Linked DNA regions of Macaca mulatta. The protein of the gene in region 3 purifies or fractionates together with the protein of the main gene of each other region. This does not show direct contact. Links are inferred from orthologs where the notes say so. Each region holds a gene or a part of one and is shown on either strand. Other genes may lie near its edges.

What was found. The genes of interacting proteins can lie anywhere in the genome.
Region 1: the proteins of MAGED2 (region 3) and C1QBP purify together in Homo sapiens (affinity purification with mass spectrometry; 3 studies listed by BioGRID and IntAct, counting the BioPlex papers as one, with this or other methods). This does not show direct contact. The link is inferred for Macaca mulatta from reciprocal best matches to the Homo sapiens genes MAGED2 and C1QBP.
Region 2: the proteins of MAGED2 (region 3) and NAP1L4 purify together in Homo sapiens (affinity purification with mass spectrometry; 3 studies listed by BioGRID and IntAct, counting the BioPlex papers as one, with this or other methods). This does not show direct contact. The link is inferred for Macaca mulatta from reciprocal best matches to the Homo sapiens genes MAGED2 and NAP1L4.
Region 4: the proteins of MAGED2 (region 3) and guanine nucleotide-binding protein G(s) subunit alpha isoforms XLas purify together in Homo sapiens (affinity purification with mass spectrometry; 3 studies listed by BioGRID, counting the BioPlex papers as one, with this or other methods). This does not show direct contact. The link is inferred for Macaca mulatta from reciprocal best matches to the Homo sapiens genes MAGED2 and GNAS.

The regions. Positions count from the first base shown.
Region 1 is NC_133421.1:6,934,872-6,937,145, reverse strand, and holds the end of C1QBP (complement component 1 Q subcomponent-binding protein, mitochondrial), read left to right. Parts: intron 1-46; exon of another isoform or gene 47-190; intron 191-784; coding exon 785-880; intron 881-1,134; coding exon 1,135-1,257; intron 1,258-1,392; coding exon 1,393-1,542; 3' UTR 1,543-1,774; downstream 1,775-2,274.
Region 2 is NC_133419.1:2,859,965-2,863,464, reverse strand, and holds part of NAP1L4 (nucleosome assembly protein 1-like 4), read left to right. Parts: intron 1-1,322; coding exon 1,323-1,345; intron 1,346-2,706; coding exon 2,707-2,826; intron 2,827-3,500. UniProt on the Homo sapiens protein: Acts as a histone chaperone in nucleosome assembly.
Region 3 is NC_133426.1:54,650,499-54,652,915, forward strand, and holds part of MAGED2 (melanoma-associated antigen D2), read left to right. Parts: intron 1-226; coding exon 227-306; intron 307-804; coding exon 805-899; intron 900-1,587; coding exon 1,588-1,667; coding exon of another isoform or gene 1,668-1,704; intron 1,705-1,760; coding exon 1,761-1,803; intron 1,804-2,122; coding exon 2,123-2,185; intron 2,186-2,417. UniProt on the Homo sapiens protein: Regulates the expression, localization to the plasma membrane and function of the sodium chloride cotransporters SLC12A1 and SLC12A3, two key components of salt reabsorption in the distal renal tubule.
Region 4 is NC_133415.1:111,699,117-111,702,335, forward strand, and holds the end of guanine nucleotide-binding protein G(s) subunit alpha isoforms XLas, read left to right. Parts: exon of another isoform or gene 1-699; coding exon 700-754; exon of another isoform or gene 755-887; coding exon 888-961; exon of another isoform or gene 962-1,058; coding exon 1,059-1,117; exon of another isoform or gene 1,118-1,221; coding exon 1,222-1,342; exon of another isoform or gene 1,343-1,488; coding exon 1,489-1,619; exon of another isoform or gene 1,620-1,726; intron 1,727-1,874; coding exon 1,875-1,942; intron 1,943-2,212; coding exon 2,213-2,359; 3' UTR 2,360-2,719; downstream 2,720-3,219. UniProt on the Homo sapiens protein: Guanine nucleotide-binding proteins (G proteins) function as transducers in numerous signaling pathways controlled by G protein-coupled receptors (GPCRs).

The DNA of each region.
Region 1 (2,274 bases), on a different chromosome or scaffold from region 3:
CTTGAACCCGGGAGGCGGAGGTTGCGATGAGCCGAGATCACACCACTGCACTCCAGCCTGGCAACAGAGCAACACTCTGCCTCGAAGAAAAAAAAAAAAAAGAATGCCAGGGGCATAAGAGACTTTAACTGGATCATGCCTACTCTTCAGACATTTTAGGAAGTGCTGTGCCCAGCCTGGTAACCAGCCAGTACGAGGGCCACAGAGTCCCTAGACCTTCTGCCCAAAAGCCATCAGTACAGTGTTGGGTCATGACCTGGTGTGGATGGCACAGCTCTCTGGTGTGCTTCTTTCCCAGCAACCCCAACTAGCATCTCTCTGACATTGGACCCAGTCTGCTCCCAGAGCTCCACATCAGAGGAAAAGCTGCTGCTGTTATTCAGCCATAAAGATGGCCAGGTTCCCCAGCCTTTGACCCTGGTCCCTTTTGAAGACTCCTGGAACAGTCAAGCTGGAATCTTGAAACTTTAGGAAAGCTTTGCAGTGTATGGGTGGAGGAAAAGGCTTGGAATGTTAAGGAACTGATATAAACTCAGTTAATTGGCACATAGCTGAGGCGGCTGGTATCCAGATTTCTTAATTGAAAATCCAGTGTGTTACTTAAACAAGCAGGGTGCCAACAGAAGTGAGATCAAGCTCTTCATTTGGGAATAGTATGGCATAAGACTATTAAAATGGCTACATAACATCCTAATGGTGGCTCTGAGAAATCTGAACAGAGATCCTTGATCCAGGCATCCATCTCCTTCCAGCAGTGGCATGTACTGACTTCTTGTTTTCCCAGCCTGAACTGACATCAACTCCCAATTTCGTGGTTGAAGTTATAAAGAATGATGGCAAGAAGGCCCTTGTGCTGGACTGTCATTATCCAGAGGATGAGGTATGTAGGATGGAGTGCTAGCCCCTTGGCACCCCTGGGGAGCACAGCGTGTCCCTTGGGAACTTCCTGTCCCTTTTAGCATAAATTTAAAGACTTTCTAGCTTAGACCAGCCCAGCAGGGGGAGAGGGGAGGGGAGTGAGGGAAGAGGGTTAAAACCTGATCAGTTTCATGCTGTCAGCAGCCCCCTTTCTTCGCATGAGTCTGGCTTATCCTGGAGAACCCTTCAGTTTCCCCAAATATTGTTTCTTCTCAGGTTGGACAAGAAGACGAGGCTGAGAGTGACATCTTCTCTATCAGGGAAGTTAGCTTTCAGTCCAGTGGCGAGTCTGAATGGAAGGATACTAATTACACACTCAACACAGATTCCTTGGACTGGGTGAGTGCTTGATAAGATGGGGGAACCTTTTGGGCCGTGGAAGGAAGGGTCCTAGTTCAAGGGGAGAAAGAAACATTTTAATGTTCATTACAGATTTTTTTTTGTTTTTAAACTAGTAAATGTTGTTCTTTGCAGGCCTTATATGACCACCTAATGGATTTCCTTGCGGACCGAGGGGTGGACAACACTTTTGCAGATGAGTTGGTGGAGCTCAGCACAGCCCTGGAGCACCAGGAGTACATTAGTTTTCTTGAAGACCTCAAGAGATTTGTCAAGAGCCAGTAGAGCAGACAGACGCTGAAAGCCTTAGTTTCATGGCAGGCTCTGGCCAGTGAACAAGTCCTACTCTGAAGCTAGACATGTGCTTTGAAATGATTATCGTCCTAATATCATGGGGAAAAACACCAAATTTAAATTATATGTTTTGCGCTCTCATTATCATTTTTCCTGTACAAATCTATTATTTCTAGATTTTTGTATAACATGATAGACATAAAATTGGTTTATCTCCTCCAAAGCAGTGTATCTATTCTATTCCTCCCGCTTCAACCTGCGTCACAAAAGACCAAGAACAGAGATGTCGGAAAAGTTTTTTTTCCTTCAGGATCGGTTAAAAGTTTCGATACAAAATAAGTTATAAATAAAAGGCTTGTATGTACAAGGCTCCTCAGGGAGTGAGTGGTCTTCAACCCGTAGAATGATGTGAGTCCACGCTGGCTCTAGAGGATCACAGCCCAGGTATCACAGGCCTAGGTTTAAACAGGAGAAGAATTAGCTTAAATTGTATTCTAGTCATGAAAGACATGTGATACATCGTTAAAAGTTGTAATCAATGAGAATGCTACACATTAGATGAGGTCTCCTGAGTCTAGTTTGAATTAGTTAGGTCGTGTAATTTGTCATGAAGGCCACCGACGACTGCCCCTCTTTGGCTTTGCTGGACCTCTGTCCTGCAGCCTTCAAACAGCTGTCTGGAAACCGTCAGCACCAACAGTCTTCAAGCTAAGATCAAATCTG
Region 2 (3,500 bases), on a different chromosome or scaffold from region 3:
GGCGAGGTGGCGGGCGCCTGTAGTCCCAGCTACTCGGGAGGCTGAGGCAGGAGAATGGCGTAAACCCGGGAGGCGGAGCTTGCAGTGAGCTGAGATCCGGCCACTGTACTCTAGCCCGGGCTACAGAGCGAGACTCCGTCTCAAAAAAAAAAAAAAGAAAAAAAAAAAGAAAAAAATTGAGGATGGGCAGGGAGTAGGTAATGGGGTAGTGAAGGAACAGACAAAATGAACTCCTGTGGTATGAAGTGAAGGAGGCATTAGCTAGTGAGTCCAGCTCTGTCTTTGTCCTTAAAGCTACAAAGCCAGTCCAGAAGTATGAGTGCTGAGAATCCTTGTGCTGATTCATGACCCCGGCCAGAGTGCCCTGGGGAGCATGCTGCTCCAGCGTTTAGACACCCAGCCATGCCCCTAACCCATGTCTTAAACCCCCGGGTGATGCTGGCACACCGAGGCTTGGGAGCTTTGCCTTGCTCATGGGTGGTGTTTACACACCCAACGCTCATGTCTCAGCAGCAAACAGCAAGTGCTGCCAGGGTTGTGGTCACTTAATGGGAAGAGAGACTCAGAAGAGCCCAGTGAAGATTGAAAAGGCAGGTATGAGACTAAGTAGAGTAAACATTCAACTCCTGATGAAGGTCAGGGTCTTGTAGTAAATGTCTCTAAAATCAGGGGGTTGGATCGTGTACCATTTGAATGTTGCATGGCTTCATTGAGTGTGGTTAGAAGTCCCTGTCTGTCTTGGTGTGCTTAGCTCATCCAAGCATCAGCTTTCACTGAGGAGCTGCGCCACTCTACGGGGGCACTGGTGGGCATTTCAGCACTCTCCAGTTAGAAATGCAGTTTCTGCCTCGCCGAGATGCAGTGCCTTAGTAACACTTACAGCTTATAAGGCTTAAGGACTTTCTCTTTCTCTCCTGCACCATCATGTATAGTTCTGCAGGACATGAGTTAAATTTCTCCATAAAGCACAAATGCACTGAATGGCCACATGGCCATAGCCTAGGGGCTGTTTGCCTTTCCTCCTGTTAATATATTAACCCTCTCAAAATGATTTTCTCAAGCTTGAGTGCCAGCCCATGGCACGTGATGGAGGAGAGGGGAGGGGGGCATAGAGGCACTCAGGCCAGCTTCAGAAGTGGTGGATGGAGCTTGCGACGATGTCTGTCAGGAGATGCAAGGCTTTGGGGATTTCTAGTTTAAACCTCAAGGTGAAAAATGTTACATTTTGTCTACCAGCACAACTTACTCCTGTGTGGGCTTTAAAATTCTGGGACTTGTCACTGTAACTTAAATATGTTTTGTCTTTTTTTTTTTTTTCCTAGCATCCGGGGATGGAGAATCACTGGTAAGATTTGTTGTTACTAGTCTGATTTTGCTGTTGAAGTCTCTCCTGAGTGAATGTCTACTTGTCTGCTTGTTTAAAAAAGTCCAGTCCTGGCCGGGCGCGGTAGCTCAAGCCTGTAATCCCAGCACTTTGGGAGGCCGAGACGGGCGGATCACGAGGTCAGGAGATCGAGACCATCCTGGCTAACACAGTGAAACCCCGTCTCTACTAAAAAATACAAAAAACTAGCCGGGCGAGGTGGCGGGCGCCTGTAGTCCCAGCGGGCTGAGGCAGGAGAATGGCGTAGACCCGGGAGGCGGAGCTTGCGGTGAGCTGAGATCCGGCCACTGCACTCCAGCCTGGGCGACAGAGCGAGACTCCGTCTCCAAAAAAAAAAAAAAAAAATAAATAAATAAAAAGTCCAGTCCTGGCTGTGTATGGACTGCGTATGCCTGTAATCTTAATGCTTTGGGAGGCTGAGGTGGAAGGACTGCGTGAGTCCGGGAGTTTGAGACCAGCCTGGGCAACATAGCACAGCCCCATCTCTACAAAAAATTAAAATCAAATAAATTAACTGGCCGAACACAGTGACTCACACCTGTAATCCCTGCATTTTGGGAGGCCAAGGTGGGTGGATCACCAGAGGTCAGGAGTTCAAACCAGTCTGGCCAACATGGTGAAACCCCGTTTCTGCTTAAAATACACACACACACACACACACACACACACACACACACACAAAAATTAGCTGGACATGTTGGCAGTGCCTATAATCTCAGCTACTTGGGAGGCTGAAGCAGGAGAATCACTTGAACCCGAGAGGAGGAGGTTGCAGTGAGCTGAGATCGCACCACTGTATTCCATCGGGTGACAGAGGGAGATTCCGTCTCAAAAGATAAAATAATAAATTAGCTGGACGTGGTGGTGCACTGTGTAGTTCCAGGGTCACTGGGGCCCAGGAGCTTGAGGCTATAGTGAGCTGTGATTGCACCACTGCACTCCAACCTGGGTGATAGAAAAGTAAAAGTACGTGTTTCATATGTTGGTTTCAGTAGCAAACGTGTAGTGCTTTAATACTGCCCGTTCCCCATGTGTGAGACTCTGATACCCCCTACTCTGAGTGAGACCTTTGGACAGGTGATGGAGCTGTGAGGCCCTCAATTCCCACTTGCTCTGCCATTTTGCTTCAGTAGCTCTTTAAAGCTACTTGCAGTTGTTTTAAAAGGGCTTTGAGTATCTAGTGGCTGTCCCCTAGCAGTGCAGGAGTTTGGTGTTTTAAGTCAAGTAAATCGTAAGTGAGGGGCTGAGGTTTAGCTGAGGGTGGTGAAGCAAATGTTTTTATCCCATTAAAATGAGTTAACACGTGGGTTTTTCCTCCTCAGGATGAAGATTCTGAATTCACATTAGCCTCTGATTTTGAAATTGGACACTTTTTCCGTGAGCGGATAGTCCCGCGGGCTGTGCTGTACTTCACTGGGGAGGCCATAGAGGATGATGACAATGTATGAGGCTCGGGGAAGGGGGGCTCCCACCTGGGTGCTTATCTCTGTTGGTGCAGAGTGGCCCTGAATTGTGGCTTGGGAAACCCCCATGCCTAATCTTTTTATGACATCATCAGTCAGATACGTAGTCTAAGCTGCTGTCCTTGTTGTGGGGGGAATATACTTGAAGAGGAGAGGTCTGAGGAACAGAGCAGAAAAAGCAGGTGTCTGTGAGGCAGTTTCAGAGATGATTGCCAGTTTCCTATGTGAGCCCTGCCTAGTGATTCAACAGTATTCTCTAAAAACCTAAGCTTCAGGGTACTTCTGAACATGGGGAAAATCTCTTTCATGGAGGTCTGACCACAGCAAACATTTATTGACAGTGGACTCATGCTAGCCTGTATTTCATCAACCCAAAAGAAATAGAAATTCCTGAACTTCTGTCTAATTAGGTAAAAAGGAAAAAGACCCATGCTCCCAAGAAAACAACAAGATTGCATGTCACTTTCCTTTCTGGGCTTGAGGGAAGCCAGCTCTTCCACGGTCAGAACTTGCGGGCACACAGCCCGTGCACCGCTCAGAAACTCCCATCCTCACCAAGGTTCAGGCAGCTTCAAGTCTTCTTGATCTGTGGAAAATAAAGTTTTGTTTTATAGAATGTTACTGGAAGTGTGTTCTAGATGACATTCTCTTGC
Region 3 (2,417 bases):
TCTGCCCTCCATTGCCCTTGCATCATTGTGCTGGGGATATCTGCTGCTCTTATGCTTATATCTCTGTCCTCCCAAAGTTCTAATTTGGCGGTGCTAGCATCTCTGTTGATAAGCGCAGAACCTGGTTATGCCACCCTTGGTGTGGTTGGCAAAGAGTCTATAGCTTGGGCATCAGGGCCACCTGGCATCTCTTCAGTCAGGTGCTTACACCACTTTCCCCTTGCAGACATGCTGAAGGACATCATCAAAGAATACACTGATGTGTACCCTGAAATCATTGAACGAGCAGGCTATTCCTTGGAGAAGGTGAAGGGGCAGCCCTGGGGGATGGGCACAGTGGGGAAGCCTTGAATTGAACAAAAATGTGCAAGTTCCTTCTCAGGGGAACCAGAGAGACCTGCTAATCTAGCTCCATCACTATGCTGAGGGGCAGACAATGGCCTAGGGAGGGGTGTAGATGAGCGATGGGTCACACAGCAAGTCAATGGTAAAAGTACAGTTAGGACCCAAGACACCCAACTTAGTCCTGGCTTCTGTCCACAGCTCATGCCATGTATTTCAGATTTCACCTCTCCCTTTCATTCCCCATTCTCTGTCTCCCTAGATTCCCACTCATCGCAAAGACGATGATGACAATAGTACATTTGCTGCATGTTTACTGGGTGCCAGGCACTTAGCTATGTACTTTGTGTGCATTACCTCACTGATTTCTCACACATGCAAAACTCCTAGGTACATAGGGAGCTGCAGCATGCCCCAGAAGCTGAATTTTGTCATCTCACAAGCTGTTCTTCCCATCCACAGGTATTTGGGATTCAATTGAAGGAAATTGATAAGAATGACCACTTGTACATTCTTCTCAGCACCTTGGAGCCCACTGATGCGGGCATACTGGGAACGTAAGCTGGGAAAGGGCTGAGGTGTGGGGGGCTTCTGCATTGGCCATGTGCTGCTACCCCTTCTTTGTCCTACTTCCCCCATCCTCTTAGAGAGTCAGGAAAGGCAGGGACTCAAAAGCCCCGTCCCAGTTCCCATGCATAGATGGAGCCCTGCTCACAGTAGTGATGCCTGATTATGATTGACTGAAGGGTGTAGGAGCCTGAGGTGGGACATTCCTGCTGTCAGCTTTGCTGTTTCTGTAGAAGCTTCCCAGGAAAGCAGGCCTGTCATTGCTTGCCTCTTCCTACTGGGTGCCTGGCCTGGCCTTGGCAGAGTGGTTCTCAAGGAGGGCTTCCTGGTGTGGGTGGATCAGGATGCATGAAGCGCAGGAGTGTCAGTGGGGCTGAAGGTTCTGGGAGAGAAAGAAGGGATTCACATGGACTGAGTGCTTGTGTTGTACCAGGTTGACAGCCATTCTTCCGTCTTCTTGGAAACCCAGGGAAGGGAGAATATGATTTTTCTATTTTACTGAATAGTAAACTGAGGCTTGCAAGTCTAAGTGCCTTGCCCAGGGTGGCATAGAGCTGGCAGCAGAGACTGGGCAGAATTCTGTATCTGAGGCATCTGGGAGAGGCTAGCCTAGTGAGCTGGCTGGTGTGTCTGTGGTGGCTGCTGGACATAAACCTCTCTGTCCTGTTATTTCTCTAGGACTAAGGACTCACCCAAGCTGGGTCTGCTCATGGTGCTTCTTAGCATCATCTTCATGAATGGAAATCGGTCCAGTGAGGGTGAGTGGCTGGGCATGCAGCTGAATGGGTGGCCATGGTCTGGATTCCATGTGTTCAATTTCTGTCCCTGTCTCCTCTTGCCTCCCCTCGCAGCTGTCATCTGGGAGGTGCTGCGCAAGTTGGGGCTGCGCCCTGGGTATGATTGGGCTCTCTCAGCGCTTGCTGTCCGTGTTGTCCTTTGGCAAGAGAGGATGGTCCTAGGATTGCATCAGTCTGGTGGTCTGGTGGAGCGGGTGGGGTGCTGGACTGGGTAGAGGGCCCAGGGTTCTGACCTGGGTGGATGATGGGCCTGAACTCTCTGCTCCCTCTATCAGTGTCTCTTGGGCTTCTATGGAGCTTCCCTCTTGTGCTGGAAACCTCTTTTCTATCTTGGAAATGCCTCTGCCCACATCTGGGAAGTGTCACAACCTTGAGTGAATGTATTTGTTTATTTATTTTTCTTTTTCTTCTCTCAGGATACATCATTCACTCTTTGGGGACGTGAAGAAACTCATCACTGATGAGTTTGTGAAGCAGAAGTAAGTATCTGTCTGGTGTTCATGTGTTCCATGCATTTGGCCTATTTCAGAACTGAGTGATAAAGCCATGGTGCCTGCATGCATGTGTCTATGTGTGTATGTATTTGCATATTTGCGTGTATGCAGGTGGTGGATTATTCCTTGGGTGGTGATGGGAAACAGAAGCAGCACATGTTTCCTGATCTGTTACATGTACCTCAACATTTGTCTTGAGACCAGTTCTGCAAGGGAG
Region 4 (3,219 bases), on a different chromosome or scaffold from region 3:
CCTTTAATCAATGAGATTCTTAAAAAGTGAAAAGGAAGGGCTACAGATTCTCAGTAACTAAAACAATCTCATGTGCCCTTGAGGAGAAAGTCCTTGATGTTTTTAAGAATGTCACTTTATTTATTTATTTTTTTAACTGAATGATACAGAGGTATACAATTTTCAAACTGCCATTTTAGGCAGGAAATTTGAAAATTGAAATGTTTTTGTCAAGCATTACCAAATGGCACAGATTGTGATAGGTCAGCCTGGTTTTGGGGTCCTTTCTCTACTGGTTGATATGCATAAAACCTTTTAAAAATCAAGAATATTACCAGAGAGCAACAGGAATAAACAAGCTAAGTAAAGAAGAAAAAAGAAAAATAGAAAAAAATAAACATGAAGAACAAAGCCCCACCACTGTCCTGTGCTGTTTGTGTGGCCCCACTGCACCGAGGCCGCAGGCTAGCTGCTAGACGCATCTAGAGTTCCCTGATTCCTAAAATTATTTATCTTAAATCCCATTTGGCCTAACTTTCTTAAGGCATCAGCTTTGAGTTATAAATGTAACCAACACACAAGCAAATATGCCATTGACTTAGTGCTGCATAACTGTGGGACGGTCACTTCCGTTGAGCCTGACCTTGTAGAGAGACACAAATAGTTGGCAAATTAATGTGAACGCTGTGAACACCCCATGTGCCTTTCTTTTTCTCCCAGCTTCCTGGACAAGATCGATGTGATCAAGCAGGCTGACTATGTGCCGAGCGACCAGGTGTGCAAAACCCTTCACCACCAGAGGACCCTGAGCCCTCTTCCCAAACTACCCCAGACTTTTGCTTTAGATTGGAAATTATTACTATTTCGATTGGCTTTGCTGAGATCCATTGACCTCAATTTTGTTCTAGGACCTGCTTCGCTGCCGCGTCCTGACTTCTGGAATCTTCGAGACCAAGTTCCAGGTGGACAAAGTCAACTTCCAGTAAGCCCACTGTTACCTTTTTATATAACAGAGATCATGGTTTCTTGACATTTACCCCAGCCCCTCTGGAATAACCAGCTGTCTTCCTCTCCACCAGCATGTTTGACGTGGGTGGCCAGCGCGATGAACGCCGCAAGTGGATCCAGTGCTTCAATGGTAGGACGCTGTGGGCTTGGCTGTTCGTGAAGAACGCTTTGCTTCTGTGTTGTTAGGGATCAGTGTCGCTGCTCACGCTCTTGGCTTTGCTTTCTTTGGTTAAGATGTGACTGCCATCATCTTCGTGGTGGCCAGCAGCAGCTACAACATGGTCATCCGGGAGGACAACCAGACCAACCGCCTGCAGGAGGCTCTGAACCTCTTCAAGAGCATCTGGAACAACAGGTTTGTGGAGTGACCGCCCACCCCCTGCGCTTGCCCAGGAGGCCCTGGTCTGCACTGTTTGTAGAAAAGAACCCTGTGCAAGCATTCCAGACCCCTGGCCAAAAGCGCGCTTCTCCCGGGCATTCACACGGCCTCCCTTCTTGTAGATGGCTGCGCACCATCTCTGTGATTCTGTTCCTCAACAAGCAAGATCTGCTCGCTGAGAAAGTCCTTGCTGGGAAATCGAAGATTGAGGACTACTTTCCAGAATTTGCTCGCTACACTACTCCTGAGGATGGTGTGTATGGCTTCCACTCTTTTGCTGGCTGTTCATTGCAGTGGTTCTTTTTCAAACAGTAGGGCTGAAAGCCGCCATCCCCCTCCCACCACCAAACCATAAAGCATCTGTAAGAGAAGCAAGAAAAACACACTTGCATTAATTCTCATATGGAAAAATCAGGGTTTTGAAGACTTCAGGAGCTACAATGATGCTAGCACCCCAGCTCTGCTTGACTTTTTAATTACATTAATATATATTCCCTTTTTTTTATAGCTACTCCCGAGCCCGGAGAGGACCCACGCGTGACCCGGGCCAAGTACTTCATTCGAGATGAGTTTCTGGTGAGTTGAGCCTGTCTTTAGTTTCCTCTCTTGCTCCTCCTCTTTTTCTCATGGATGTAAATTTACTTCAGGGGTTCAGCTACCCAGGTCCATGGTTTTAGTTCACGCACATCCAGTGTGGATTTGAGTTCTTTGCACCCCTCCTTTTGCTTTCGTTTTCATATGACATCAGAGACTGGCCAACAGCCGTCCCTGGTAGGTGTCCCCATCAGTGATAGGGTGGTTCCTGGCGAGGGTGTCACTGACGAGTCCCTGCGTTTGTACCCGCAGAGGATCAGCACTGCCAGTGGAGATGGGCGTCACTACTGCTACCCTCACTTCACCTGCGCTGTGGACACTGAGAACATCCGCCGTGTGTTCAACGACTGCCGTGACATCATTCAGCGCATGCACCTTCGTCAGTACGAGCTGCTCTAAGAAGGGAACCCCCAAATTTAATTAAAGCCTTAAGCACAATTAATTAAAAGTGAAACGTAATTGTACAAGCAGTTAATCACCCACCATAGGGCATGATTAACAAAGCAACCTTTCCCTTCCCCCAAGTGATTTTGCGAAACCCCCTTTTCCCTTCAGCTTGCTTAGATGTTCCAAATTTAGAAAGCTTAAGGCGGCCTACAGAAAAAGGAGAAAAGGCCACAGAAGTTCCCTCTGACTTTCAATAAAAATAAATAAAACAACAGCAGCAAACAAACAAAATGAAATAAAAGAAACAAATGAAATAAATATTGTGTTGTGCAGCATTAAAAAAAATCAAAATAAAAATTAAATGTGAGCAAAGAATGATGGGACTCCCGTGAGTTATTTGTGGTTCTGCGCAGATTCCTGTCATTCATGGTTTGACTTGGCCCTTACATCAAAAGTTGGGAGGCCCCAAGGTGAAGTGGGTATAAAATCTCACCACTGTATGTTTTCTGGTGACTGTAAAATGTAGGTGTCTTGAAATAATTTTCAGACAATAGGAAAAGTCCACTCCTGTTGATCTCCCAAACTTTTACCCCATAGTGGACCACTATGCCCCAGTCACCTCTACATTTTGATCACTGCCATCCTATCCAAAGATTCTGCCAACTTATGCCATTACATCATCACACAGTTTGCCTGCTGACCCAGGCTTCCTAAGAAAAGTAGTGTATTTTTTGCTATAAGATAGGGACTAAATGATGTGGAGAAATACAGGAGCGCCGCGTTTCAAATCAATGGGGTTATTCAAGAAATGGTGTAGCCATTTGGGGAAAATTTAGACTGGATCCCTACCTCATTGCACACACCAAAATGAA